Linked DNA regions of Xenopus tropicalis. The protein of the gene in region 6 interacts with the protein of the main gene of each other region in a pairwise test. Links are inferred from orthologs where the notes say so. Each region holds a gene or a part of one and is shown on either strand. Other genes may lie near its edges.

Region 1 (3,500 bases), on a different chromosome or scaffold from region 6:
TTACCTGTGCCTGTGTATAGCCCTGCCTTCTATAACCTGCGCCTGTGTATAGCCCTGCCTTCTGTTACCTGTGCCTGTGTATAGCCCTGCCTTCTGTTACCTGTGCCTGTGTATAGCCCTGCCTTCTGTTACCTGTGCCTGTGTATAGCCCTGCCTTCTGTTACCTGTGCCTGTGTATAGCCCTGATTTCTGTTACCTGTGCCTGTGTATAGCCCTGCCTTCTGTTACCTGTGCCTGTGTATAGCCCTGCCTTCTGTTACCTGTGCCTGTGTATAGCCCTGATTTCTGTTACCTGTGCCTGTGTATAGCCCTGCCTTCTGTTACCTGTGCCTGTGTATAGCCCTGCCTTCTGTTACCTGTGCCTGTGTATAGCCCTGATTTCTGTTACCTGTGCCTGTGTATAGCCCTGATTTCTGTTACCTGTGCCTGTGTATAGCCCTGCCTTCTGTTACCTGTGCCTGTGTATAGCCCTGCCTTCTGTTACCTGTGCCTGTGTATAGCCCTGCCTGTTCTGTATGTCCCCCAGCATGTGCTGCCCCCCTGGTGCCTATGATGGTTCAGGTACAGGTGCCTCTCTATGTAGCAGTGCAGCCTGCACTTTCCCACTTAGCTCTATGTGCTGTTAATGGCGCCTCTCAGTACATTCTCCTAATTACCCTTCCCTATTCCCTGCATATATCAGCAGCAATGCATTCCCTCCCAATGCCTCAGTGGTTCTGACAGTACTACATAAATGGCTACCATGATATAATTACCTCTGTGCCGCTCTACATTATTTTGCCACTAGCACCCTCGTCTTTTTTTGTCCTTGATCTCCGCCAATTAGCGAGCCCCTTGTCCGCTGTGCGCTGTAAATAGCTGGAGAAATAACCTGGAAAATAAATTAATATAAAAATACAATCTGACATCTTTGCTAGTTTGTGTGCCTCGGTAAATGCGAAGATAAAGGCGTTTGTATATGTCCAGCCCCAGTGCATTCTGGTCCCCGGCTCTTCATACATTACTGGTATCTATGTGCTAAGCATTCTATGCTGATGCAGGGCTGTCTCTATGGATATGGATCTATATTTCAGGCTATGTCTGCATTGCATTCCCATCACATGGTGCATTAGTCCCGTTAGCCTCCTGTTGGAAGCAGTGCATGTTGGTAACTTTCTATGGGTGCAACATGTCGCTCATTGCCAGGCATCTACCATTATAGTTCTGTATTTTGGTACATTTTTGTGTATTTCGTATGCACCCTGTCCTGCTGATATTTGGCACCCTGTACCCGGGGCACTCATTTTCTTTCTGGGGGCTTTTAACCCTTTATCCTCCCACTTATGTGGCCACAGTATTGCAAGCGGGGCTCTGGGTGACGCAGCCATGTGTGCTTTGCCAGAGAGGGTTAGAAGCAACTGGGAGCAACCGCCTCTCTACTCTCCCCTCCCTTCCTAAGTTACCTCCCCCTGTGTCTCCCTCTCCTCCCCCTGTCACGTGGATTAGACACGCTTTCTATTCCACCGCCACCCATTATATCATATGTGGATTACCAACACCCTCTACTGGAACGTTTAAAGTTCTGCATACGTCTAAAGATAGGCAGATAGACAGACAGAGATAGAAGATAGATAGACAGATAGATGATAGATAGATAGATAGATAGATGATAGATAGATTGATTTGTTTAAAGTTCTGTGTTCACTCATATTCATTCTTTCTTTCTCCTTTGCTATCTTATAATTGGCTTCCATGCTCTCTGTCTCTCCCTCTGTACTGTCTCACCCAGTCTCCACTACTTCTTGAGTAGTTGCCTTCACCACCTCTCTCTCTCTCTCTGTGCCTTCTCCATGTTACAGCCGGAAGATATCGGGCAGTCTCCCATGGCTTCCATGCCAGATGGGGATAAAGTTGACTTGGAGGCTTTCAGTGAGTTCACCAAAATAATAACCCCAGCAATTACGAGAGTGGTGGACTTTGCTAAGAAGCTGCCCATGTTCTCTGAGGTGAGTGTGCGACACAGAAGAGCAAGTGACCGTATACATCACATAATATATAAGTACCTGTACCTAAATGTTCAGAATACGGATTGTATATGTCCCGCTTCCCACATATACAGTTTGAATATGGCTTTATTGATGGCATTTCCTTTTTTATACCTCACTGATCATGTTTGACCTTTTCATTTTCTCTTTTTCTTCAAGCATGAAATGCCTACCCCCCTTTGTACTGAATCTTCCTTACCGACCCCCCCCCCCCCTGCATGTTTCTCCTCACCCACCCTCTTTCCACCCCACCAGTGACATTTCTTTCCAGTTTATCCTTCCACTAAATGTTCTTCCCCAACCACTCTACCCCCCTCACTGAATGGCCCTCCCTCCCCACTCAGCCCTCCAGTGAATGTTCCACCTTACCCAGCTTTTCATTAAATGTTCCGCCCCAGATAGCCATCTATTATGTGTTCTTCCTCAACTGCCCTTTCATTAAATGTTCCATGCATTTACCCTTACAAGGAATGACCTCGCCATTCACATAGGTACATATTCCCACACACTATACACACACTGAATTTCTGTAACAAAGCCTCCATGTCCTACACACACCTACCCAATATACCTCTCACTTTTTCAATTTTCTTCATACAGTATAGGATCTATTATCCAAAAACCCGAAAGGCCCTGATTTCAGCATTCCCTTTGCCCACAGGATCCTTTTTAAGGACTATACCCTCAGAATGAATACTTAGCCAACAGATAGTGTGGCCCATTAAAGAATCTACCAAACTAGACTATATATCAGTAAATATTGCCCTTTTACATCCTTTCCCTTGAGCTGCCATTTTGTGCTGGTCTGTATACTCACTCAGAGATCACATACTACTAAAAAGTATATTTTCATGAAAATGGTTTATTTAGAGCTACTTTATGCAATATATATTTATAGAGACAAACATTGTTTGTGAGTATAGTTTTCCTTTACACTAACAATGCATTTTGACTCATTTGCCTTTTCTACATTGTACTTAATAACTAATAACTGGTCCTGTTTTCTAAATGTTAGTATGACATGGCATGCCATTGTAAAAGAAGGACCAGTAATCTGAAGAACACCAGGTCCAATGCATTCCGAATAATAGATCTCATACCTCTACCCAACCAGTTGGTCTCCCCTTTGCCACAGATACATATAATGTATAATTTTATTCCCCCCCTGACTCACTGCTCACCCAACCGGTGGGGGACAGCAGTTGGGGAACAGGTCTGGACTGGCAGGGCCCACTTGGTTTTCCCCAGTGGGCCCTGCCTTTACAATTACTTGGCGCACTCAGGAACCTTCATGCATTTCTGTGCTAAATTCCCCTTTTCTCCTTGTTATTAGAAAGGTCCCTTCCCCCTGCATCATGGTTCCTCCTGCTCCTTATAATCAGTGCCTTTCTTCTACATTCAAAAATATGTCCCCTGTCCCACCAGCTGCCTTGTGAAGATCAGATCATCCTGTTGAAAGGATGCTGTATGGAGATC
Region 2 (3,500 bases), on a different chromosome or scaffold from region 6:
ACTTTCTGGATAACCGCTCCAATGTCTGTATTATAAAGGAGAGATAAATCTCAATCTAAGAATAGGTAGAATTTGTGGGTCACCTGTTTAAAAGCAAGCATCTTATTGGTTGCTATGGGTTACTGCTTCTGGGCAAACTTAGTGCTTTTTATTACATATGGGGGTTAAAGTCCTGTCAGTTAGAGCTCTAAGCAGTCCCCAATAGCCTCAGTTGTCAGAGGGGCACATGAGTCAGTAGCTGGGAGTTGCAGCGCATATTTTTGTCGCCAGTAGAATGCCGGGCACTCGCCCTGAGTAAATCTAACAGCTGGCACATTTTGACTCGGGAATGTTGTGATTACACAGGTATAATTTCTAGGCGTTATCTTTATTCAAGCAGAGCGTGTTCCTGCGTGTTACCAAACACTTTAATTGCAGCGTCCTTAATAGTCCTTGTTTGTCTGACTATAACTCCGTGTCAGCAACGTGATCCGGCTCAGTATGGAACCTAGCAATGTTCCTCACTGCCTTCGTTTTATTTACCCTTTATATATTGAATAGAAATCTAAATAGGGCTGTTCTGCCCCCAATAAGGGGTAATTATATCTTAGTTGGGATCAAGTACAGGTACTGTTTTATTATTACAGAGAAAAGGGAATCATTTAACCATGAAATAAACCCAATAGGGCTGTTCTGCCCCAATAAGGGGTAATTATATCTTAGTTGGGATCAAGTACAGGTACTGTTTTATTATTACAGAGAAAAGGGAATCATTTAACCATGAAATAAACCCAATAGGGCTGTTCTGCCCCAATAAGGGGTAATTATATCTTAGTTGGGATCAAGTACAGGTACTGTTTTATTATTACAGAGAAAAGGGAATCATTTAACCATGAAATAAACCCCAATAGGGCTGTTCTGCCCCCAATAAGGGGTAATTATATCTTAGTTGGGATCAAGTACAGGTACTGTTTTATTATTACAGAGAAAAGGGAATCATTTAACCATGAAATAAACCCAATAGGGCTGTTCTGCCCCCAATAAGGGGTAATTATATCTTAGTTGGGATCAAGTACAGGTACTGTTTTATTATTACAGAGAAAAGGGAATCATTTAACCATTAAATAAACCCAATAGGGCTGTTCTGCCCCCAATAAGGGGTAATTATATCTTAGTTGGGATCAAGTACAGGTACTGTTTTATTATTACAGAGAAAATGGAATCATTTAACCATTAAATAAACCCAATAGGGCTGTTCTGCCCCCAATAAGGGGTAATTATATCTTAGTTGGGATCAAGTACAGGTACTGTTTTATTATTACAGAGAAAAGGGAATCATTTAACCATGAAATAAACCCAATAGGGCTGTTCTGCCCCCAATAAGGGGTAATTATATCTTAGTTGGGATCAAGTACAGGTACTGTTTTATTGGAAATCATTTAAAAAAAAATTAGAATTATTTGATTATAGTGGAGCCTTTCTGTAATTCAGAGCTTCCTGAACAATGGGTTTCCAGATGATAGAATGTATTTTGTTTGTACCAGCTATGGAGGAACTAGGGAGGGGCCGGGGTCATATATATGCCCCCAATCATTACAGACCAAACACTTTGATGTGTATTTATCAGAGCACATCTCTCTCTCTGGTTTTTAGGGTGAGCGCTGCCTTTTAATGAGAATCTTTCCATCTGTCTTTCAAACCACTGTAGTTGCTAGGGTAAGCACTACCCTAGTGACGGCTAACTGAGCTGGGAGCTTTGGACCCATAGCCTTTTGGGCTGAACCATTTCTCACTAACATTCCCCTGCAGCTTCAGACCCTGAACTTCTCCCTTACTGTCCCCCCCAGATTATGACGATGGTTTCTCCATGAAGCACAGCGCCGCTGCCCGTTTCCAGAGGAACCACCGGCTCATCAGTGAAATTCTCAGCGAGAGCGTGGTGCCCGACGTCCGCTCCGTGGTCACGACCGCTCGAATGCAGGTTCTGAAAAGACAAGTTCAGTCTCTCATGGTGCACCAGGTAAGGAAATTACATTTCTATTGGTTTCACTGCAGTTTGTTTGATTTGGCCTTTAATATCAGGGGAAGCAGTTTTGCATTACGTGCCTTTGGTGCTAAATGAAGGTGAATGCATTTAGTGCTGAACAGGTGGGGCCCCCCACTGTCAGTACTGCTGAACAGATGGGGGGGCCCCTACTTTCAGTACTGCTGAACAGATGGGGGGCCCCTACTTTCAGTACTGCTGAACAGATGGGGCCCCCTACTTTCAGTACTGCTGAACAGATGGGGCCCCCTACTTTCAGTACTGCTGAACAGATGGGTACTGCTGAACAGATGGGCCCTACTTTGTACTTTCAGCTGGCTGCTGGGGCCCCTACAGTACTGCCAGATGGGGCCCCTACTTTCAGTACTGCTGAACATGGGCCCCTACTTTCATACTGCTGACAGACAGGGCCCCCTACTTTCAGTATGATGGGGCCCCCTACTTTCAGTACAGATGGGCCCCCTACTTTCACTGCTGAACAGATGGGCCCCCTACTTTCAGTACTACTTTCAGTACTGCTGAACAGATGGGGCCCCTACTTCAGTACTGCTGAACAGATGGGGCCCCCCTCAGTACTGCTGGACAGATGCCCCCTACTTTCATACTGCTGGGGGCCCTACTTTCAGTACTGCTAACAGAGGGGGCCCCTACTTCAGTACTGCTGACAGATGGGGGCCCCCTACTTTCAGTACTGCTGAACAGATGGGGCCCCCTACTTTCAGTACTGCTGAACAGATGGGGGCCCCTACTTTCAGTACTGCTGAACAGATGGGGCCCCCTACTTTCAGTACTGCTGAGCAGATGGGGCCCCCTACTTTCAGTACTGCTGAACAGATGGGGCCCCCTACTTTCAGTACTGCCGAACAGATGGGGCCCCCTACTTTCAGTACTGCTGAGCAGATGGGGGCCCCTACTTTCAGTACTGCTGAGCAGATGGGGGCCCCCTACTTTCAGTACTGCTGAGCAGATGGGGGCCCCCTACTTTCAGTACTGCTGAGCAGATGGGGTGCCCCTACTTTCAGTACTGCTGAGCAGATGGGGTGCCCCTACTTTCAGTACTGCTGAGCAGATGGGGGGCCCCTACTTTAGAACCTTTGGGTGTAGAAGGGCTCTAATTCCAGGTGTTACATTAGGCATGCCCTTTCTTTTATTAGTAAACCTGTCTCTCCACTCTGTGTCACAACTAGAAACAGGGCAGAAGCGAGCCGCTCCCTTGGGTGTAGTCTGCGTGCACATAATTAACCCAAAGCCCATTGCTCCAAAATAAGCAACTCATTTCAAGATGAGAACACTCCTGTGAGTTTGTTTCCACAGTCCCAGTTACCAGCCCGTGTGTCCCTTTGTCAGAGGGCAAATAAACTGCCGCAGCAATTGCAAACATCTGGACAAAACAAAGACTCCAATAAAACTAGGTTTTTAGTATATCCTTATTAATTTCAGAAATATCTTGATAAATAAATAAATATACATTTAGAAA
Region 3 (2,875 bases), on a different chromosome or scaffold from region 6:
TGGGAGAACGTACATTACAGTAATTGTGACTTGTACTACTGATCTTGCTATGAACTAAATGAATAAATGCTGAAACACAAAGGGGGTGTTAGGGGTCTAAAGAAAAAAGAAAAAATGTGATTTCTACAAATAAAATTTCCCGATACAATTGAAATTAAAGGGAAGTCCTAAGCCTGCTTATATTTTAATATACTTTAAAATCAGACAGTTTTTAAACAACAGGGATTTTGGAAGTATGGCCTTAAGATTGTAAGCTCTTGAGGCTAGGGTCCTCCGATCCCATTTTTATTCTATAACCCAACTTTATATATAGGACACTGCAGAACACTGCACAACTTGCTGGTGCTACTTTGCAAGGCTTTCTGGTCTTTGCCATACCGCAAGTCAAATGTCACAGTTGAGACAACACAGGCAGAAGCTGTGCCTTGGGCTAGAGAAACCAAGCCTAAGAAAATTAATTATAATTAACAATCAACTGCCCCAGGTGCTGGCCAGAAGTTTATGTAAACGAAGAACAGAGTGCTGCACACACAGGGACTTAAAAAAGAACACAAAATCTTTATTAATCCAATCCATTAAAATGGATTAATAAAGATTTTTTGTTCTTTTTTAAGATCCTGTGTGTGCGGCACTCTGTTCTTCATATAAAATGTATCCTGCAAAAATGCACAATTAGCAATTTAAATCTCTTAATCATCATCTAGCATGCCCCTCACATCACTGTAATTTGTGTAAGTCAAAACCTCAACCAGATAGCAGTTAACATGTCAAAAGGATGGGCTATAAAATAGCAACATAAAACCAGTAATACATAGTGACCAAATGCAAATGGACTTAGCATGGCATTCTTTGAATCATAATAAAAGTCAATTTAAAGGTGAACCCACATTTAAGGCATACTAGAAAACCACTTACTTTCGGATAAACACAGGCTTGAGTCGCGGTTCCATTTCATCTTCACTGTCAGTGTATTCTTCATATTCAGACTCGGATTCCGATTCTTCCCCTGATCTGCCCTCATCCTCTACCTCCATCACTTCCATTTCATCGTTTTTTCTCTCTTCAGCTCTTTGACGCATCATGGAACGGCGCCGCTCTATTTCCTGATTACAAAGCGAGCAACAAAAATATTTTTGGAATCAACAGGAACCACTGACATGACAAATGGACAACCATGGAACTATACATTTGGTAAATGGGATGTAAAACAGACTGTTCTTATTAAGCCCAGAAGAAAGAATATTTCTAGCCTTGGTAACAAGTATACCCAATCTTATTTTTATGAAATTATTTCACTTACTACCAATTATATATTGTGACCCGTAGAAAAATGTAAGTCAATGGTCTAAGACAGCAGTGGGCAAAATAACCCAGTGCAGAGTCTTTCAGTGTAGTTATCAAATCAAGGTCTAACACATTAGGTCAGTGCTGTCCAACTGGCGGCCCGCGACCCCCCTCTGTGTGGCCCCCCACCTGTCTGGCTGCTTTGATAACTTAACTTTGTGTAAGCTTTAAATGGTATCAGTACTGGCCCCCTTCATGGTTAACAACTCAGATTCAGGCTGTAAACCCCCTGTATTGTTTAAAAATGTAATCCCCTGTGTTGTTCACACCTTTTAATCCCTACATTGTTCTTCCCATGCATTGTTCACACCTCAGGCTCAGGCTGTAATCACCCACATTGTTCACCTGTTCACACCCAAAAATAAACCCTGCACACTATAAAAAGAACATATACTGAGGTGGTACTGCAATTAAAAAGTTTTTTAATATATAGTTATTGTGCAGACTGTAGGAGCAGTGGCAGCATTGTGTCACTGTAGGCTGCCTGTGTTTGCCATACTCTGCCTGCCCTATGCTGCCTGTGTGTGCCACACACACAGGCAGGGTAGGGAAGGAAGAGTATCGCACACACAGGCAGGGTAGAGAAGGCAGAGTATGGCACACACAGGCAGCATAGGGCATACAGAGTATGGCATACACAGGCAGGGTAGGGAAGGCAGAGTATGGCAGGTTTTTGCTGTACTACCACCATTAATATGGCTATGGTTATGCGATAACATGGGTGTGGTTTCAAGTGGGTGTGGTTTTAAAAAGGGGAGTGGCCAAAACTAGCTTCCATTAGCGGCCCTCCACCACAGAGGCCAGAAAAATTCCGGCCCTCGGTGCCACAGAAGTTGGACAGAACTGCATTAGGTTATAGTTTGCCATAGAAAAGGTGACTTCAATGCATTATACCAAGAGAAACATGGTTTTGTTGCATTTATTTCAACAACACGTTTTCTAAGCCATTAGTAGATCTTACTCTAGCTAGTATAATTTTACTAAAAATCATTCTTGCCCATAACAAGCAGAAACAGAAATGAAAAATGAAATTGAAAATAGTCCTTCAGTTTTAATTAGAACTGAATGTACTTTATTATAACATAGGTTATTTGGCAAGGTTATATCATAGATTACCTCATCATCTACTTCTTCCTCTTCCTCCTCACTAGTGTCCTCTCGATCCATGCGCCAATCCTCTGCTGGCTCAGGCTCAGATTCACTTTCCCCAACTACTTCAGGCTCAATAATCTTCCGGTGCCTGGCCAACCTGTACAAAGAAAGCATTTTTTGTGTCAGAAAAGTGTCACCCGATTGCCCCATGGCTTTGCACCTTATACTGTATTAATAAAAAAAAAAAAAAAAATAGGGCACAACATCTGCAGAAATGCAAAGAAGCCTGTTACTACCTGCTTCCCTGCAAATTGCAGAGGAAAGACATTTTACTGCAACCCGTAGCACGTTCATAACAACTTAAAACATATGTGTTCAGCTGCATAGTGGTATTGTGTAATATCCCACAAGATTTGTCATCCACTTTGCTTTGTTTGCA
Region 4 (3,548 bases), on a different chromosome or scaffold from region 6:
TTTTATATTCGGATCTTTAAATAAATAAGTCAACATTCGTGCTTTTTTAATTTGTGAGTTTTTTCATGGGAGAGCAGTCCACAAAAAGTACAAAAGTTTGAATTTTGATAAATGGGCCTCCACATGTGTCCGCCATGCCCACATGGGCAATAGCCACATATCTGAGTGACAGCTCTTTGAAAGAGCCTGAACACTGGCATTCATGGAGCTGCCCTAGGGGATGGGGATTTGGGGTGACTTGAATACCTGGTCTCAAGCTACAAAAGGTATTGGTCTGGGAGCTATTAAGCTCTTACTTGAATATAAGTTTCTGATGATAACAATGACAATAATTGCATTAGTAATGCGGTCATTACATTAACATGTTTCTATCAGCTTCTTTCATAGTGGATGCTGGAGTCTGATGTAAAGAAGAACATTGGCAATATAGTTGCGGATCCCAAAGCGCAAACATTATTATTTGTGTCTAATAAATTTCTAATACAAACCCGAGGCACATATTTTTCACCAATACTTTATTTAACTGGTAACTTTCACAATTTATAACAGACTGGCAAAAATAATGTTTAAAGATATTTACAGCCTTGCATTGGCTACCTATCTGTACACAAGGCATAGTGATCATAACACAGTTGTGCACAAAAAAGGACAATATTAAGTAGACATCATTACTTGAACAGTACAGTGAAATGACGTCACAATACCAGTGAAAACTGAGCATTATACAAAACATACCAATTTACTGCAAACTACAATCTTTACAATATGCATATCATGAAAAAATCAGTAGTACTTTTAACTGGAATTGGATGCACAGATTTCCTGGGTTACTATAAGTCTTTTAAGGGTTGCAACCTCAGCAGATAGATTTGCAATACCTTGCTTTAAATATAAGCTCTCTGACTCAGAGGCTTTGAAGACATTGTCTTTTATATCCACAATCCCAGATGTTTTACAAACACTTGGAATTTTATCAAGTTCCCTGTGGTGCCACTGACCTGGTTTTAGTGGCCAGTCCTGTATATTAGTTACTTGAACTGATAAAGGTGACAAAGAAGAATGTACCATGGTTTCACTGTTGTGTTTTTCCAGCTGTAAGTGCCGCTTTGAGGACATATCAATTGGCAGGGTCAGTTTTTGAGTGCTATTAAGTTCGCTTTCCAGTGCTTCTACTTTAATCTGCATAGCCTTTGCTTTTATGCGGAGCTTGTGAGGTAATGCAGAGGAGTTCACTTCTGGAACCTTTATGATTGTCGTGTGCCCGTTTTTAAGTTCAACTGGGGAATGAATGGGACCTTTAGGAACCTGCTGTTCATCCTCACCATCAGACGTCTTTCCTACCACACCTTCATCTGCTTCTGATGTTCTCGGAGAGTTACTCGACGATCTGTTTATGTGAAGAAGTGGAGGAGAATGTGAATACCCAGAAAATGTGTTTCCAATATAATTGGTATATATAGAGCCTTGGAAAGTGTTACTGTCTTCTCTGGCATCTCTAGAAAAGTTCTCCCTTTCCATAGGTTCCTGTTTAATTCTTTGGAAGTTTATATCAGTACTTCTGCAGTTGCTCTGGACAGTGCTCGGCTGAACATGCTCCACGGATGATGCCTCAGACACATCAGACAGAGAGCTTTGTGGGGAGTGCTTGATAACTGAAATACAACTGCTGGTCATTACAGAATGTTCATGATCACTGTTATACGACATTACATTTGGTTTGGAAGATGAGTATTCCTGAAAATACATAGCAGTGGAGGTTGTGACCTTTTGTATTTCTTGGGCATAGGAAGCAGAACTAATCAAGCCAAATTTAAGTTTTAAAGACAGCAGTTCTGTTTTCAGACTGGCATTCTCCTCTCCTAGTGCAATAAGTTTATTTTCCAAAACCATGTCATTTAATCTCCGTTTTTCTCTCGACCTTTTTGCAGCTTCATTGTTTTTCCGTCTTTTTTCCCAGTACATAGCATCTTTCTTTTCATCTGGGATAAATTCCCTTTTCCTCCGACATGAGGAGTTTTTGTTTTTCGCTGGTGCCCCTTCGCTGTACAACATATCATTGCTGGAGTCCATGGATTCTGACATGTCTGGTATGTTTGAACTAAGAACAAGAATATTTTCCATATTGTTGCGTGAATCTGCACATTCCTGCTCTCTTTTAATGGTTGGCATTTTTCTCAGCTGCATGAGAAGGAAGTGGAGTTAGAAACCTTCTGCAGCTCCTAAAAAGAGCAATTTCACGTCAACTTGAAGCTTGTAATTAGATTAAATTCCATCTGCTGGTAATATTTCCTTCATGGCCTCATGACAGCCAGGTTGTAACCATTTCCGTTATATGCTCAGGAACAAAAATTTGACCTGGAATTAAAGAATAAATAATTAAGTTGTGTTTACATACTATTAGGAAACAGAAAACTAGTATTGAAGGTAACCATAAAAGTCAGCATTAGAAAGAACATTAAGGTAATTCTATGTTTTATATCTCAGTAAAGACCTCATTTACAGTGCACCAAAGGTCACATGGTTGAATTCCTCTGAGATTTGCAGAACTATTGGTTTGCTAATATAACCACAATTACATGCACTTCTGCAATCTTACAAACCATGTTCTAAAAGTCCTGTCTGTGGTTCATATACTACAATGATCTGGAAAAATAATTACGTCATGAAAAGAGATTTTTTTACTACTTAGGGCTTTCTGCTTGTGACATTGCATGGCTTTTGTCTGAAATTGCAGGGAGCAAGAGGAACAAAGACCTAAATGATTAATTAGTACTAAAAACTGAAAAAGAAATGGAAAAACATGCGGTAAGAGAAAATCCCCTACGACTTAAAAAACTCCATATATTGTAAACTCAGCCAACTATAAATAATCCCTCCTTTAAAACAAAACCAGTGTAAACAAATGTATTAAAAAGATATAGAAAAATTAAGGGTGATTTATAACAATCAACAATAATTTAACAAACAAGGGTTACAAAATAAAAAAGAACATAACTGTAACATTCCACAACTAGCGAGGCCGGTCTACAGATGTTTCTTACTTTACACGCTTACAATCCATGCAGTCCTATTATTATTATTAACATTTATTTATAAAGCGCCAAAATATTCCGCAGTGCTGGATTATAAAGCTGCCTACAAATATAAATATAATACTGTATATACATTTAGGTCATGGGAAGGATGGGAACAGGTCACATGAGAATACAGCCAGTCTACCTCAATTCTTGGCAATGAAGTGGATTTATATGCCAATTGCATCAGGCAGTTAGGGGAGAATTGGAAAGAATGGTTATTTGCTTTTTTTTGACACCCCTGAAAACCCAGCTGAAGGTCAGAAAATTGGGTGGAAATGTATTTGTTGTCCTAGATATTCTTGAAACTATTTACACTTTATCAAAAAATTAAAGGATCTTCAGTGGCCAGTCAAAAAGGGCCAAAGTAATTGGGACACAGCCCCCAGATTTAAAAGGCAAATCAAGCAACAATATCCAAATGTATCCCAAACTCAACACAAAAATTCAAAAGAAAAATCACATTTTGACTCA
Region 5 (3,500 bases), on a different chromosome or scaffold from region 6:
TATATTTAATTGGTTTTGTAACTTTTGTACCCTGCATATTGTCTAACTGTAATTGTGTACAAACAAAAAGACTAGAAATTAGACACATATTAATACCTGTAGACTCTTATTTTTACACCCAGCTTGTTAACATTACAAACTGTTCTTTATTTAATGGAAAACTTTAACATAACTAATACTAAACAATATAAATGATGGAGTTCAATAAGCCAGTCTTGATATTTTTATAATACTTTGTCTCTAACTTTTAGTCATTGATCTGGTTGCTTCTGATTTGGAAGAGCTTGCACGAAAATGCTCCCTGTCATACAAGGTGGTGTATATTTTTTCTTTAAAATTCTCTTAGATTTTGTTTGATTTGCTTATCTAATCTGCATATCTTATTACAAAAATGCAGACTGCTATGTCTCTAAGTAAAATTGCCTGACAGGTACTTGCATGAGTTAATTTAGTTAATTGCCAGAGAAGTCAATGGGGACAATTTGAACAGATTGTAAAGCCTTAGGCAAATTAATTGTAGGGGTATGCTACAGACCTCTTGTGTAAAGGTGCCCATACACCTTAAGATCCGCTCTCTTGGCGATGTCGCCAAGCGAGCGGATCTTCACCCGATATCCCCCACCTACGGGTGGGCGATATCGGGAGAATCCAGGCTAATTCGATCATTTGGCCCTGGGGCCAAATGATCCAATTATTACGGCGGGTATAGGCAAAGTTGGATCCGACTAGATTTTTTAACCTGCCTGACCGAGATCTGCCCGATTTCAGGCCAGATATATAGTGCTCATACACGGGCCGATTAGCTGCCGAATCAGTCTAAAGGGACTGATATCGGCAGCTAGAATCGGACCTTAAGTGAAGAGGCTAAGCTGCTGTTGCAGATATAAAAGGCTGCTAGTTTGGGGCATGAAATGATAACGGGAGAGTTTAACTACCTAGATGTTGACTGGGGCAACAGTACTGTCAGGACAGTTAATGAAAACAAGTTTATAAACTTCTTAATTTACCATTTTATGTAACAGATTGTTAGGATGAAACTGGGAATCATGTTATAATGGGTCTAATGATCTCTAACAACCCAGAACATATAGCAAATGTACAAGTAATATAAACTCTGAGGACCATAACGTTACATCATTTAAAGGGGACCTGTCACCCTAAGAAATAATTACAAATTGTTTTCTATTGTGTTTATCAAGCAAAATAAACTTCAATTACACTTTATAAATTATTTTAAACTTATTTCCTTCAGCACTGGAATTCACAATTGCAGAAAACAGGCAGGCTCCATTTTGTGGACACTGTTATTAAGGCAAGCTGTGTATCCTGCTAAAATCTTGTTTCTGTGCCAGTATGGGGGGACCTGATACATATATCTATGCATTGGTTACACAATTAGATGGTGAGGAGGGAGGGGGAATGTGAGGAGTGCAGTGATATCTAAGAAGTTCTGAATTGAAAGTGAAAGTAACTGTCTGCCCCACCCCTATGCCTAAGGCATAGAGGTGGGTCAGGCAATATATGATTGACAGCTGGGGCTTTAAAATGCTTATATAATGGGTATAGATGTGTTAATAAAAAAATGACTTTGGGTTACGTGTAATTTGAAAAGGGCTTTTATTATACAGCTTTTTATGTCTGGGTGACAGGTCCACTTTAATGTTTATTGCAAAAAATAAATATACATTAGGTCAACAAACACATTAAGATCAGTACCTCAGTGCATAGTTTTATGCTAAAAACTAAGTAATGGTTTTCATTTAAAATGCTGCTAAATCTTTCCTGTTTACTCTTACACAGTAAGAGTATTAAGGACCACCCTATATGGCTTTAATCAGAAGTACGGAAGCTAGTAGGAATAGGTCAGAGGGCAACAATGCTTCTTTTAAAAAATATAACAATTCAACAATTGTTGAAAAACAACAATCAAAAAAGGTAAAGAAAACCAATAAGGGACTGACCAAATTTCAAAGACCAATCCCATACAGGTTAAGACTGGGGCTTCATTAAAAATAGTAATAATTTGGGTAGAAAGGCATAATCAGTTCTTTTTTTCAGTGTATGCGATAGAGAAGTCAGAGTTTCAAGACCCACTTGGCAGAAGTATAAATGGCTCCTAAATTACAGTGTTACTATGTGGACTACTTTGTCTGGCGTCTATTATTGCAGTATTCCTAGATCTACAGTAATTGCTTGCCTTTAACAAGATTCTGTACTAAAAGGTTGCATTAGACTGGGGCCATTAACTAACTGTCAGATTTTTTTTTCCATTTAGACTTTTAGTGCTAAAATTTGCAGGTAAAAAGTTTGTGATTTTCCAAGATTTACTATGCGTCAAAACGGCTAAAAATCTAAATCTAGCAATTCACTAGCTAAAACTTGCCAAGATCATGTAGTCAATGGCATATGTCCCTTCCCTGGATGATCCTTCTTTTGCTTTGAAAGTTTAAAAGTTTGGGATTTTTGATGCTGTTTTTTTGTTTGACAATTTGAAAAAGTTGCAGTATTCATAGGACAAGTCGAAATATTGGGAATTTTCATGACTCTTCTGCAACTTTTCCAATGCAAACTTTTTCAGTTCAGACTTTTTAGAAATGTAAGACAGTGAAAATAAGTTTATTCAAATTTGAAAAAAATGAGGAATGTTAAAGTAAATCTGCCCCCTAGAGCTAAGCAATTATATAATCACAAAGTAATTTGTCCTACACTTCATATACCATGTGTTTTTTTTCCCTTTGTGATGGTTTGCGGGCAAATTGGAAACTTCCAGCTTCTCACCTTAATTAAAGGGAACTAAAAAGAGTCACTCTATTTTAAAAGTGTGTTTAGAATTGTACTGTATTTTCAGACATTAATGGCAGTGAGGCGTGTTCTTCTGGCACAGTACTCTGCATTTCCCTCCAGTGGAGCTGATGTGTATGAAGAGCTTAAGAGTTCCACAGCCATCCTACCCACAGGCAACAGAAAGTAAGATTATGTTCATCTCATAAGCAAAAATGATTAGAAAAGTGTAGTGTCACATTGCTTTGTGCTGAATCTCAAAGCTGCTTATTTTACTAATCCTAAAAAGGTACTAACCATGATCAGTCTTTTGCAGGTCTGTGGTGGGAATGTCTGAACGTCTCACAAATCCTCACAAAAAATAAGATTAAAAAAAAGACTAGCACACACAATACTGAACTAAGTGTGTTTTAACCAGTTTATAAAGTAACAAAAAATTATCATACAAAATTAAGCCTATGACGCACCTGAATTTTTACTGCTATGATGGTCTGAGTATTTGCTTCCCATTCATGAAAGTAAACATCTGTCATAACATTGTCTTTGTAAGGGTTAATCTCTTTAACTCTGTCTGTGCTTCTGTGCACTGTATCTAAGCAGTCACGAACCGGTTCGATTTAATCTGTGCGTCGGCGAAACATCTGATATCATCTGTGCATGTGCGCTGATCAGGGAACTTGTACAAACGATACAACCAGTATGTGTATTGCAAACAAGTT
Region 6 (4,266 bases):
CCCACAGACCTGCAATCACCCATGGACAGGCAATAAAAAAATTGACAATTAAGAGACTTTTGTGGAAAACTGCATTTGTGAGCCTGAAGGGAGAAAATGCAAAATGAGAAGAAATTAGCACTTAGCTGCAATGTGTTCAGTCTGGGCATACCAGTTATAGCCGTAGAGATAATTGTGGAAAGGTCTGCCATAAACTATGACCTACTGTCATTTATTTTCATCAAAGGGAAACAGATCAGCCCCTTGACGGACAGTAAAGAAGCCCTTCCTGGCCAAGCAGAAAGTGGCTTTTTTTATGTTACAACAGGCTATTTTCTCAGTTGTAAGCTAGGTTCCATGCCAACGAGCACCATAGATCTGTAGCCACTGATATGAGACAATGGCTTAATTGGAATAGCAAGCTGTATAGCCAGTGAATACAATAGCACCTCCTGCGTATAGCATTCTTACCCAACTCTGCTCGGGGTCCGCGGGCATTATCTATTTCTAACAGAGAGTATATGTGCCTGAATATCTGCCAAAATAAAATGTGTAGTGGCTGGCTATGCTTAACGAGGGAATAGTATCAATTTCTGATTCATTTTGATTTTCACCACAATTCAGCATTGTACCCCAGAGTATCACCCAGGGGCATTGCAGAACCCAGTACCACTCAGCGGCCTAGTTGATATGACCCCCACACTTTTAGTTTTTTGCATCGGAGCAGGTCAGGGGGGGATGCATTTCTCTAGCAAATCTGAAATTCCTATTTAAAAATTAGAATATTTGCTCTTGAAGATATACTGGGGGGGGGGGGGGCAAAAATATTTAGTTTTTTGGGTCTGAGCAGGTCAGGGGGGATGCATTTCTCTAGCAGAGCTGCAATTCCTATTTAAAAATTAGAATGTTTGAATGAAGATATATCAGGGGAGGGGGCACAATAGTAACTTGTAGTGTGCAGCTGCCTGAGGTAAATTTCCCAACTGCCCTTATGGCAGCAGCGCCACAACTGCACTGTAATTGTGGGGCAATATTAAATGGTGCCACTTCTGGTGTCATTAAACAGAATCATGGTAAAATTGGCTTGGAGCAAAGTCAGTTGTGTCCATGGAAGCAAGGGGGGGACCAGGAATTACCACAAGCTCTATTTAAAAAAATCTGATCTCTAAGTCTGAAAGATGTACCCAGGCGGTATTCTCGTTTGATGTACAGTTATTATGAGCTTCCGTGCCTGTTATTGTAAGGCAGTGCGGACAGCACAATTAGGCGCCTCATAATTAGCCGCCATTATACAGAAACATGTAATAACAACAGTAATGCGTGCTCTCTGCTAGCGGCTCCAACGCGGGGAGATCTTCCGCCCCCAGCGGCCGCTCACTGGAGTGCAGCCCGGAGGGAAAGTATGAGAGGAGGCGGGCAGAATGCTGAGTGGAGGAGGGAGGGAGAAAGGTTATGTGTGGTTATAGCTTTATCCCAGGGGGAGCCTGAAACTCTCACATTCCGCGCATAGCAAAGCTATTGAAGCACTAGAGCGGCGTGAGTGCTGCGGGATCAGTCTGCTCAGCGCTCTCAGGCAGCACACAGCTCACTGCGCACAGGGAAAGTACGGGCACAGTCGCACCGACACAGTCGCACCGAGAGCCCAGTCTGCTGCGCACACACTGGCTATGCTCGGGTGAGTACGCTCTTTCCTACACTCTGCCCTGCGCTTGCTTTTACCTTTATTTTCTGTTTTTATTTGCGCACTGTATGTACATATCGTACCCCCGGCGCATTACTGCGGTCTGTGAGTCACATGTCTCGCAAGCAGCTAGAATAAGGACAGTTGTTTATTATACATGGGTACCATTGCTACACAGTCTTTCATTAAGCTGGTGTCCCGCAGAACTTGCAATCTAAAAGCTGCTGCTCTAGAATGAATAGAAATACTTCTTGTGTATGTCTGTCTGTATTTATATTCAGTTTCTTGTATATGCAATAATGCTCAATGTAGATAATGTATAATGTTTGTGTTGGTACCTGAGCAACTCCCAGCACCCACAGCTTTAGTCTATGTGCAAACTGTTGTGTTTCTATATATGTATGCATGTGTATATACCGTATGTCTTTGTCTCTATAGACTTATCTATAGAATAAAAGCCCCCAATGACTGGTCATTTGTCACAATGGTATTTATGTAGGGTGCTGTTGGTGCCTGAGAAATTCTGGGGGCCTGTGATGCCTGAGTATTGTATATTCCTTGTGTACAAAGTGTCATCTAAGGGACAACATTTATGTCATTTTAAAGGAGACAAAGGGGGGATTAGCAGGTGTTTTGCCACCTTAGCCATGGCAGCAGCAATCCACCAACTATATTCTATTCTTATTATGATTCTTGTTTTTAGAACGGGCCTGTGTGGGGTAGAGGGAAGGCTGCAATTCACAAAGAATGTCAATTGCAACACAAAGAAGCCAGTGATGTCACTTCTTAGCTATGCTAAAGGTGCTCTCGCCTCCTACGTGCTGGAAAATATTTTCCCGTAAGAGACAAGGGAACGTTCAGGTTTGGCCCTATGTACATACCTATATATATATATAAATATATATATATATATATATATATATATATATATAAATATATTTTAGAAGTTTTAGTGAAAGGGGGAATTTGTTGTGATGGCTATTTATACTAAATCTGCTACAAGGAGTGTTTAACAGCATTAAAAGATTCTTACATGCCGTATTTTTGTTGGTTAGGGATGGAATCCCAGTATTTATTTTCTTTGCTATGGAGGCCTGAAACTAAATAAATACTGGCACTGTTTTTGGTTGTTCAACTTCAACTAGGAAATGTGGAATTCAAGGGGAGGGCTATAAGGCAGAGGCAGCAGGGGGGCATACCATAGATACAGTGGGCTTTATCTACATAGAAAGGGAGGTGTGTGTATATGTGTGGACAGGAGGGGGGGGATTAGTAAAGGGAGGAAATTCCATTCCTCTGATATCCATCACCTCCAAAAAAACAAGCAGTTAATTGCCTAAAAATCAGCAGCTTACAAGTCAATGAAGCTCTATTTCTTAGCAAAGTAAGTAGAACGTGTGTATGTTGTATTGGAAAATCCAGTTAGAATCCTCCAGGGTTCTTTGTTCCTTTGTGAACATGACTTTTAAGCATTGTGAACATTGACTTGATGTTATGATGAGACATAAAACCATCACTGTCACATCCTTCTTGTGTTATTTGGAAGAATTTTGTCTTAAAACATATATTTTTTTCTTGTTCCACAGGCTCTCCCCAACAGTCGAATAGGATTATAATCCATTACTTATATTTTCCACTTGACTGAGGATTTATTTACTTGTTAAGGATGAGAACAGCCGAGGATTCCTCTGGAACGGTTCTACACCGTCTCATTCAGGAGCAACTAAGATATGGGAATCTTAGTGATAACCGTACATTGTTGGCTATCCAGGAGCAGGCTCTGCGGGCTGGAGGTGGCAGTGGAAGTCCCAGATCATCCCTAGAAAGTCTTGAACAGGAAGAGATTCAAATGGCTCCTTCAGCAAGGCAAGAACCCCAAGGCCAGGAGTATCATTGTGACTATTTCTACTTGGAAAACCCCATGTATAAGGCTCATGAATTTCAACACAAAGGCGAGGAATTGCCAACTTATGAAGAAGCCAAAGCGGCACTCTCACAGTACTATGCAGCCCAGAACACCCAGCCAGTGGAACATGGTGGTCATCGGCAAGACCAATCCCTTAAGGATTTGAAACATGGCCATGTCAGGTCCTTAAGTGAACGTCTGCTGCAGATGTCTTTGGAGCGAAATGGTGCCAAGCCTCAAAACCTTATGAGCTCCTCTCATAGCTTCCCACAGCTTTCAAGGCATTACCAGCTATCGGTGGCTCGTGAGCAACAGGAAGATAGGGGACAGTATAGGGGTGCTCCTCCGGAGTACCCTCATTTTAATCAACCAGTACAGGACATACGAGGATACACAACAGAACAAAGGCATTATTCTGGGGAACTGCCTGTATATCACCAGTCTGAAGTCAGGTGAGCACAGACTTCTAACCATACTATGCAAACATCTTCACGATGTAGATGGAATATCTCTACTGTAGGATTGCATTTAAAGTTTACCCTTTAAAACATCTGTCAACTGGAGCATGTTTATTTATAATGGCATGTTGGCTGTAGATCAATATTATGGAATTCCAGCCATCCAGTAGTTATTGTCCACTGGCCAGCCACAGTATTGTAAAGAGTGCGCAAATACGTAATTTATGTACGTAGAGAAGTAT
Region 7 (2,752 bases), on a different chromosome or scaffold from region 6:
ACTCCCTCTTTTCTTCTACTTTTATATAAAAATCAGAATGCTAAGCTGATCTGTTACCATGGAGAAATTAGGCATGAGTTTTGGAGGTGGCCCAAGTAAGAAGGAACTTCAGGAGCAGGTAGAAACTCAACGGAAGCAACTACAACAGTACCAGGGTCGACTGAAGGATGTTGTGCGAGCATACAAGAGTCTTCAGAAAGAAAAGGAGGCCCTTGAGGCCAGTCTCCATGTACTTTCCACTACTCAGGAGCCAGGCACTCTTTTCTCAGAATCTGAAGAGGCACATGATGACCAACATTCCATACACAGTGAGGATAGTGTGGACACAGCAGGTAGTCTTCCCAGTGCTAGAGGAGGTGAGACGAGTGAGGATGAGAGACCAGATCCTTCTCAACGAGGTGGAATAGAGGAGGCCAGTGGTTCAGAGAGTGGGGTCAGCACTGCCAGTGGAGAGGGAGGTCAAGCCACAGCAGTTGAGACTGACCGTAAGATGGTGCAGCTGAAAAACCAGCTTTCTACACTAACTAGGTATGTAACTTAAATAGGTTGTTCCCCTTATTACACTTAATTTATTAATTTTTTAAATTTGTGACATACAAAGTTTGTTTATATTAAAGATAAAGGGCTAAGTGTCAAACAAACAAAACCATGTAACAACCCCTTTAACTGTGTTTTAAAGGAGAACGAAAGGCTAAGTCACCTGGGGGTGCCCAAATGTTAGGCATCCCCAAGTGACTTAGATCGCTTACCTTGTACCCTGGGATGGTGCCCCTGTTAGGAGAAAAAAGCACCAGCCCAGGGTACCTGTAGGAAGCGCTTCCTCCTTCCTCTTTCTTCTCCCAGTGAAATCCGTCGGCCGGTGCATGCGCAGTAGAGTAAAAAGCCGACTTTGTTTTTAAGTTCGGCTTTTCACTCTACTGCGCATGCACGCGCAAGCGAATAGGAAGTAGGAAGCGCTCGCTGCTACCCCGGGCTGGTGCTGTTCTCTCTGTACAGGGGCACCAGCCCGGGGTAAAAGGTAAGCGATCTAAGTCACTTGGGGGTACCTAACATTTTGGCACCCCAAGTGACTCAGCCTTTCCTTCTCCTTTAAATATAGAAAGAACTCAAGGAACAGTTTAGCTTGTTTATGCATATCATATGTATGTTTATGAAAAATTAAGAGGAATGAAAATATGATGGAAATAATGCTTTATATAAACAAAGCTGCTGCTGTGTAGCAGTGGGGGATATCTATCGTTTAAATTAACTAGTAGTGTTTCTAAAGCAAACGCACAATTGTTACCAGTGCATGTTTCTTTAACCTTTTTTCTCAAGTGACGAAAAATTAGTTTGAAGAACCAGCTTCATGACTAAAATTGGTTTAGAATTATATACATTGTTTTGCTGACTATTTTCTACTGTAGCAGTATATCCAACTTTATTCACTGTTATCACACAGATCAATCTTGAACAGTGTGAGGCTCCATATTTGGGTCCCAAGCCATTGGTTAAAATCATTTATTTTATATTTGTACTCTGAGTAGGTGGATTCCCAGCATATATGTTTGGCATGTAACTTCTAAATACAGGGATACCAAGCATATAAATATATACATTAAGCATATATTTGTGTAGAGGTAACAAACATAGACTCAAATCTATTTCAATGCATGTTTCTTTTTTTTTTTTTTTTTTTTTTTTTTACTATATTCAAATTAAACAGTCTGTCAACTATTTTCCTGCCTCACAGTGGCATATATATTTGCTTACCTTTTCCCTTAACAGCAGGTTAAAGTTTAAATCCTTTGTATCTTATGAAAAAAATAAGCTTTTTGGCGTTTTAGCAGCTATCTGGCTGCTAAGGTGCAATTTTACCAAATAACCAGACAGTGCTTTGAATGTGAGACTGTAAGAAGAACAGGACAGGAACAATAGTGTTTTTTTGGCCAACAGGGTCAGTGACCCCCATTTCAAAGCCTATAGAAAATGCAGACAAGTTGAAAAGTTGCTAAGAATTAGACATATCTAAAAAATATACTAACATTAAACATAAGGGTAAACTACCAATTTAAGTATATTAACTCATGCATCTAGTACTCCATGTTATACAAAACACGTGACTTTTGATATAATAAACAAATACTGTATATTTTTGGTGCCCGGGCAGTTGTAACAACCTGTGTTTTTCATATTTTTGTTCAAAAATGTAATTGGTTAGTAGTAATAGGTATTTGACTTTATTTTTACTTTATACTGAGGCTAAAAAAAAAATATTTCTTTAAGTCTTGTTATGAGGTTTTTTTTCTTTTTTTTTTTTTTTTTTCTTTAAACTTATAGTGCTCTGGCAACAGTTACACAAGAAAAATCTCGCATGGAGGCTTCTTATCAAGCAGATAAGAGGAATGCAAAGCAGGAAATGGAGGAGTTGATGCTGAGTTTTGTGCAAGAGAGGACCAAATTGCAGGAAGAAATTCAGAGCATTCAGGAGCAACTTGCAGAGACCAAGGCCAGATTAATTAGCCAGCAACATGACCGTGCTCAGGAGCAAACAGACCATGTCATTATGCTAAAAGAGCTTCAGCGACTCTTGCAAGGAGAACGAGACCACCGTCAGGAAGCAGAACTCCGACTGGAGGAAGCAAGACAAGAGCTAGCAGGCAAGCTAGCAGGAATATCTGAGCTAGAAGGAAGGTCTGAGGTAGCAGAAGAGCAAAACAGAAAGCTGCGTAAAGATCTTGAGGAACTGAGAAAGGAGATAATGGAAGCTAGA

What was found.
Region 1: the proteins of amotl2 (region 6) and thra interact in binary tests that used the Homo sapiens proteins (3 or more experiments, as listed by UniProt). The two-hybrid records come from large-scale screens. The link is inferred for Xenopus tropicalis from reciprocal best matches to the Homo sapiens genes AMOTL2 and THRA.
Region 2: the proteins of amotl2 (region 6) and smarce1 interact in binary tests that used the Homo sapiens proteins (3 or more experiments, as listed by UniProt). The two-hybrid records come from large-scale screens. The link is inferred for Xenopus tropicalis from reciprocal best matches to the Homo sapiens genes AMOTL2 and SMARCE1.
Region 3: the proteins of amotl2 (region 6) and mfap1 interact in binary tests that used the Homo sapiens proteins (3 or more experiments, as listed by UniProt). The two-hybrid records come from large-scale screens. The link is inferred for Xenopus tropicalis from reciprocal best matches to the Homo sapiens genes AMOTL2 and MFAP1.
Region 4: the proteins of amotl2 (region 6) and nfil3 interact in binary tests that used the Homo sapiens proteins (3 or more experiments, as listed by UniProt). The two-hybrid records come from large-scale screens. The link is inferred for Xenopus tropicalis from reciprocal best matches to the Homo sapiens genes AMOTL2 and NFIL3.
Region 5: the proteins of amotl2 (region 6) and rad51d interact in binary tests that used the Homo sapiens proteins (3 or more experiments, as listed by UniProt). The two-hybrid records come from large-scale screens. The link is inferred for Xenopus tropicalis from reciprocal best matches to the Homo sapiens genes AMOTL2 and RAD51D.
Region 7: the proteins of amotl2 (region 6) and gcc1 interact in a two-hybrid assay, tested with the Homo sapiens proteins (2 studies listed by BioGRID and IntAct). The two-hybrid records come from large-scale screens. The link is inferred for Xenopus tropicalis from reciprocal best matches to the Homo sapiens genes AMOTL2 and GCC1.

The regions. Positions count from the first base shown.
Region 1 is NC_030686.2:9,068,652-9,072,151, reverse strand, and holds part of thra (thyroid hormone receptor alpha), read left to right. Parts: intron 1-1,838; coding exon 1,839-1,985; intron 1,986-3,449; coding exon 3,450-3,500.
Region 2 is NC_030686.2:8,354,895-8,358,394, forward strand, and holds part of smarce1 (SWI/SNF-related matrix-associated actin-dependent regulator of chromatin subfamily E member 1), read left to right. Parts: intron 1-1,826; coding exon 1,827-1,999; intron 2,000-3,500. UniProt on the Homo sapiens protein: Involved in transcriptional activation and repression of select genes by chromatin remodeling (alteration of DNA-nucleosome topology).
Region 3 is NC_030679.2:107,684,031-107,686,905, forward strand, and holds part of mfap1 (microfibrillar-associated protein 1), read right to left. Parts: intron 2,594-2,875; coding exon 2,461-2,593; intron 1,104-2,460; coding exon 916-1,103; intron 1-915. UniProt on the Homo sapiens protein: Involved in pre-mRNA splicing as a component of the spliceosome.
Region 4 is NC_030677.2:138,768,826-138,772,373, forward strand, and holds nfil3 (nuclear factor interleukin-3-regulated protein), read right to left. Parts: upstream 2,323-3,548; 5' UTR 2,185-2,322; coding exon 796-2,184; 3' UTR 501-795; downstream 1-500.
Region 5 is NC_030678.2:94,393,672-94,397,171, reverse strand, and holds part of rad51d (DNA repair protein RAD51 homolog 4), read left to right. Parts: intron 1-251; coding exon 252-313; intron 314-2,848; coding exon 2,849-2,967; intron 2,968-3,500. UniProt on the Homo sapiens protein: Involved in the homologous recombination repair (HRR) pathway of double-stranded DNA breaks arising during DNA replication or induced by DNA-damaging agents. Bind to single-stranded DNA (ssDNA) and has DNA-dependent ATPase activity.
Region 6 is NC_030681.2:130,254,009-130,258,274, reverse strand, and holds the start of amotl2 (angiomotin-like protein 2), read left to right. Parts: upstream 1-1,466; 5' UTR 1,467-1,654; intron 1,655-2,961; exon of another isoform or gene 2,962-3,044; intron 3,045-3,246; 5' UTR 3,247-3,326; coding exon 3,327-4,018; intron 4,019-4,266. UniProt on the Homo sapiens protein: Regulates the translocation of phosphorylated SRC to peripheral cell-matrix adhesion sites. Required for proper architecture of actin filaments.
Region 7 is NC_030679.2:89,152,956-89,155,707, forward strand, and holds part of gcc1 (GRIP and coiled-coil domain-containing protein 1), read left to right. Parts: intron 1-36; 5' UTR 37-58; coding exon 59-528; intron 529-2,319; coding exon 2,320-2,752. UniProt on the Homo sapiens protein: Probably involved in maintaining Golgi structure.